Danio rerio: one gene and its partner. The protein of the gene in region 2 purifies or fractionates together with the protein of the main gene of each other region. This does not show direct contact. Links are inferred from orthologs where the notes say so. Each region holds a gene or a part of one and is shown on either strand. Other genes may lie near its edges.

What was found.
Region 1: the proteins of slc6a15 (region 2) and klhl36 purify together in Homo sapiens (co-immunoprecipitation; 3 studies listed by BioGRID and IntAct, counting the BioPlex papers as one, with this or other methods). This does not show direct contact. The link is inferred for Danio rerio from reciprocal best matches to the Homo sapiens genes SLC6A15 and KLHL36.

What each region holds. Positions count from the first base shown.
Region 1 is NC_133193.1:14,461,764-14,464,349, reverse strand, and holds the end of klhl36 (kelch-like protein 36), read left to right. Parts: coding exon 1-223; 3' UTR 224-2,086; downstream 2,087-2,586. Other genes in the region: zgc:56622 (uncharacterized protein), read right to left, coding at 2,131-2,164, 2,552-2,586.
Region 2 is NC_133193.1:17,538,591-17,542,090, forward strand, and holds part of slc6a15 (sodium-dependent neutral amino acid transporter B(0)AT2), read right to left. Parts: intron 3,380-3,500; coding exon 3,269-3,379; intron 493-3,268; coding exon 251-492; intron 164-250; coding exon 1-163.

The DNA.
Region 1 (2,586 bases), about 3.1 Mb from region 2:
CAGGTATGCTAGCAGTGAGGCCGGTTTAGCAGTGCTGAATAGAAAGATCTATGTTTTGGGAGGTTATAGCTGGGAGACCATGGACTTTTCACAGGGCACTCAAGTGTTTGATCCAGACAAGGAACAGTGGACTTTGGGTCCAAATCTGCCAAAGCATATTGCTGGACCTTCGTGTGTGTGTCTTATCAAACCTGAGCTAATCGATAGTATAGACACTGAGTGAGTTAAACATAGCTCCAATCAGGAGCACCATAAGTGATTGACTGGGTGTCTTCTTCTAAAGAACTAAACTATTAAAACTTGGGTTGTCAAGACAAAATCGATTGGATGCTTCTCAGAGCCTTTAAAAAAAGGTCAGAAGACAATACTGTGCTGTCAGGCCTCGAATAGAAGCATAAACTAACTTTGTAGGTTTTCTTACAGTTTTTTTTTATTTTTTTAAAGATGTCTTTGATGTTTGATTTGCATTTAAAACATTGTTTATTCAAAAAAGAAATCTGGTTAAAGGATATCAGCAGTTTGGAGAGTCAAGAAGCATATATAGGCAAAACAAAATTAATATGTGTGGGTTCTGATGATACATTGAGGTAATATAAAGTGAAATGGTCAAGAAACTGAACAATATTTACAACATTACCTGTACACTGCAGCCTTAACAAACAGCCCTGAGCATGTTCACAGTTCATAAAACGCCAATCACCAGAGTTTCAGGTAATAATCTTCTTTAAAGAGTAAAGAAAACCTTTAGGCGAAGTCTACCTCAGAGATTTTTTGTTAAAATACAACTTAAGTGTGCATGGAAAGCTGTGAGCAGAAGGTTGGGGAGTGGGTGTGGTGGAGCAAAGCAGGGGAGAAAGAGGAGAGGGTAACCGTCATCTGCCAGTGGCCCATATTGACTCTGACTCGTGAGGAAATGCTAAATTTTTATATTTAAAGAATACTTATTTTAACATTTAGACAGACATTAAGCAGATTTGAAGGGACAGAAGTGTCCTTGGCCACTTGAGTGTTTGAAAGTTGGGTCTCAGTGTTTGAATGCCGTGTCAATTTACTGACTGATCTGCTGATAGACGTGGCTTTCAAATACTCTACTGTCTGCCTGCATCTCTTGTAAACCTGTGATCAATAGAGCCCATCACTTTAGAGTCATATCAATCAATCAGCAGTGTTCAACAATCCACTCAGCAGCGCTCAAAATGCAAGTGGGAAATGCTGTAATCAGTACATATTTTTAAATTTAGTACATGCTCAAAGAGTTTGCCACAACTGACAACATGAATGCCTAATTACTGTCTGTTTGGTCTTGGAACTTGACCTAACAATTCTTCTCACAGGATAACAAAACTTAGTCTAATGTCATCATACAGTGTACTTGAGTATGTCCTATGCTAAATCACCAGAAATGACACAGGCACAATATAAATTTCAAACACAGAAGATGAAAATATGAGGGAAAGCTGAAATGTAGCTAGTTATTCCCTACAATTAAAGCTAACAGATGCTAATGTTGTCTTAAATGTTCAAGACACACAAATCTGTGCATTTAGTCCAGAGGTTCACGAACCTTTAATGTTCTAATGGAAAATAAGTTCATCTTTAATGACCAGAGAATGAGCAAATAATAGCACATTTAAATCAGCTAACAATCCCTTTAACAACAATACCAGTCAGATTTTTAATTATTAATTTGTTTTATTTTTGCTTTTAACAGGCAAGGACAATGATGATGTACAATATAATGTTACAAAAGATTTCTTATCAAAGTTTAGCTGTCCTATTTGTCCTGAAAAAAAGTATCACAGTGTTCGCAACAATAGTAAGCAGTGCAACTGTTTCAGCATTCATCATTGTTTCTTAAGAGCCAAATCAGCATATTAAAAAGGTTTCTATAAAACTCACCACATTAATAAATTACATTTTAAAATACATTTAAAGTATTATTTTTACATTTCTGTTATTTCTAACAGTATTTCACTGATCATTAACATTTGAATGTTATTGTATACCTTAATGCTTATCTTGTGAATCTAATATGCTGCATTTTATAGCAATGCATTAAAATCTCTTCCAGAAGTGCTTGACCGTTGATTTTCCTATGTGGGTTCTTTGTCATCCAAGACTAACAGCATTTTACTTGAAGGGGTAGAAGTAATGTGCTTCCAACCTAAAGAGCAATAACACCATACTGTTAATTACTATCTTGGAAACACTGTTATTCCTGTTTGCAATCAGATCACTGTTTATGTACCCACATTAACTAGTGCAACATTTTGTATTGTTTCATACAGAGCAGTTTATTTATTTTGACCTTTATTTCCAAATGAAAAGGTTGGAAGCAATATTGACTGAATTTTAACATCCCTTGTTTGATTTGGGATGTTACATTTTAAGCATAACTTAAATGCAAAATAAGAAAAAAAAATCATCTTGAAAGGTTTATCGTTGCATATTATATGCTGTTTACATATGCATGACAATGTACTTGGACTGTTTTGTGTAAATGCCTCCTTGACCTTTACTATTAAAATAACTGAATTCAATATACTCTTACTCTGTTATGATGCAGGCCCTCCAGCCTCTATTCAA
Region 2 (3,500 bases):
GTTGTCTAAGCCTAGGCGTGGGTAATCGTTTTCCATCACGCCCTGGATAATGTTGGTCATTTGCTGGTAGTCCTCAGGGCTAACCTGACTGAAGTTAATATGGTGTGGGATCAAGCCTGGATTGATCTCTTTGCCAAGGAAACCAATGATCTTCTTTGTGTTCCTAAAACACATTACAACAAGAAAATCAACTGTAAGGTCGCTGGCTCTATATTGAGTTTTATAACGTTTATGGAGTGTTTTCACTTACATTTCCACACATTTGGCATTCATGATGTTGGCTTTGAAGCCCAGCACAGCAAACACGACTAGAGTGGCCAACACGGAGGTGAAGAAGTTAATGAAGGAAACCAGCACTGCATCGAAGTGGCAGTTGTTGTCCCGTTTGTTGTAGCTGGAGAAGGCGATAACACCACCGAAACCGAGTCCCAGAGCAAAAAAGACCTGCGTCGCAGCTTCACGCCACACTTTAGGCTCTAGCATGATTTCCAGCTGTGAGAAGATATTGAAGTTGATATTGTAGTATTAGTTTTCACATGCTGAGTGTAGGAAACTAATTATTAGCCCTCCTGTTTTTTTTTTCAAATGATGTTTAGCAGAGTAAGGATTTTTTCACAGTATTTCCTCTAATATTTTTTCTTCTGGAGAAAGTCTTATTTGTTTTTTTTCCAGCCAGGATAAAAACAGTTATTTATTTTTTTTCAATACTATTTTAAGGTCAATATGATTTGCCCTCTTAAGCAATATTTTTCAAATGTCTACAGAACAAACCTTCATTATGCAATCACTTGCCTAATTCACCTAGTTAAGCATTTAAATGTCACTTTAAGCTGTATACTAGTTTCTTGAAAAATTTCTAGTAAAATATTATCTACTGTAATCATGACAAAGATAAAAGAAATCAGTTATTAAATCTATTGATGAAGAAATTAGGGAAAAATATACAGCGGGGGCTAATAATTCAGGGGGGCTAATAATCCTGACTTCAACTGTATATTGAAAATTTGGTACATGTACATATGGAAATATGGAACATATCTGGAAATATATTAAACTGTGAAGTAGATTTTTCAGTAGTGGATGACTGCCTCTTTCACTCCTGCTGACTAATAATTACAATCAAAATTAAAATTTTAGTTTGAATGTAAATAAAATCAGATAAATCTTTTTTTTCCACAATGATGCCTCTTGTAAATTGTACTATTATCTCTTGGGGGAAACCTATGTCATTTCTGGTGAAAAAAGTCCAAATTTGCCTGGGGTATAAAAAATGTCAGGCTTGACTGTAGATAAAATACTTTTTTAGACATTGGCTTAAACTACATATTTTAAAGAACATATTTACACAGAAATGTGTAGCTCTATAAAAAGATTAAGTGACCACATCAATGATATTATCAGTTATGTGGATTTGCCATTGAAATGCATATGTTTTGAGTAAAATGTATATAAAAAACTCAACAATAAAAATATTTACAAAAATAATAATAATTTTAATAATTAACTGTCGAAAACGACGATAGGTCAATATAAAATTGCTTTTAGACTTATTTATATAGTATATAATGGGGAAGAATTTATATTTGTACATTTTACATGGTTGACACACTAAGACTTTTTGGAATATAAAAAACGTTTTGAGATGTTTAGAAAGTACAAAAACTAAGTTAAAAAAAGGAGGCGTGGCACTCAACCCCATCCCTAAACCCAACGGTCATTGGGTGATGAGCAAATCGTATTAAATTGTACGAATTAGATCGTATGAATTCATATGAGTTAGCCACTAAATCAAAAAGTTACGAATTGCTGTGAGATTGTGTTGGTTGGACTCAGGGCTGCACAATATTGGAAAAAATCAGACATTGTGATATTTTGTTTTGCTGCGATACATATTACGAGAACGATATGAATATAATTTCACCAGATGATTTCAGTAGCTATATTTGAAAAGATTTCATTCATTTGCTTCAACTAGGATGATCAAGTCTTTTTCTATGCAGTGCATCTGCATAAGATTTAAAACATTACAAGTATATATAACTACAACAAAGCAAAAAATAAAAGTTATATAAACTTTTAGATAAGCTTTGTGGTTTTCTGGAGAGTCAAACTGTATTTAAGTACAGCAACCAAATGTAAAATAACAGTAATCATTGTATAAATCATTTTCAAATAATAATATCTTTATCTTTTTATCTTTAATAAATAATTAATCCTGCGATGTAACTATTGCTGATATACAAATTGCAATATCCATGCTCAGATGATATATTATGCAGCTCAGAGTTTTTAAATGCATCTTTAAGAATCCCTTATCTAATGAGCACCGACACATTAATTACTCCTGAAGCACTTTTTGTTTGATTCTGGATTTTATAAAGAATATATGAAGAGTTTAGATGCAAAAACCTCTAAATGCCATTTGATACTTTCTTCTAAAATTAGTATTTTTCTCGGACCATTGTGGGTGGGCTCAGAAATTTTACTTTTATAATCATGAATAAGTTCATTTCATTGCCTTCAAAGTGAAATACTTCAATATAAACATAGGAGGCTGAGAAAAGGGCTCATTTTAGCAGAAAACTTCAGATGGCATTTAGAGGTTTTTGTATCTGAACTCTGAGAAAAACAAACAGGTTTGGAACATACAAAGTGCTAAAAAGCCTAAATATACATCTTTTTATATTCTGTCTATGGTTATAAATCATCGAATTACTAAAATGACTGTTTTTTTTTTCCTTATTTAACAATGCAATAATTGTAATGGCTCTGCAGTTACCATTATGGATGATGTGGTAGCAGTACTATTTTTTAAAAGCAGAGGCTACATACTATCATTTAATTATGCGAAGCACAAACCACCCACTGATAAGACTCTTTAGTAACACAACAAGGGGTACATTGACAGCCCGAGCACTGAGAAACATGACCACGTCTTGTTTCTGCATGTTGCATGTTTATTATGTACAATAACGGCCACAACAAGACAGTCAACTGCGTTCAGGCTTTGCTAAGAAAAGAGTTAATTCACTTCTGTTGAATCACGTCACAAATGCATGCTGGCATATCTGGCGGGTATATTGTTTCCATAGATACACCTACTAGTCTCCACTGGACCGAGACGAAGAATACACATGGGAATTAGTAATGGGTGATTATGATCATTTTGAATGAATTGGATTAATTGCTGATGTATGAAGCAGAGCATGTCAGGTAAATTGGTCTAATCATTGTGGCAGCATGTCATCTGCTCTGCATTGTGTCTTACCTTGGGGGTAAACATGTGGATGATGCCGTCCACAGAACCCTTAAGCAGGAAAGCACGAGCCAGGAAACAAATAAGCACCACGTAAGGGAACAGAGAGCTGAAGTACATCACCTGCAATCACACATGACCAAAACAATTAGTAAATAATGTAAACGTATAATGTTATAATTGATAAAAAAATAACATTTTGATCTCTATTCTCCATGCTAGCGTTTTTTAAACCGTATTACAC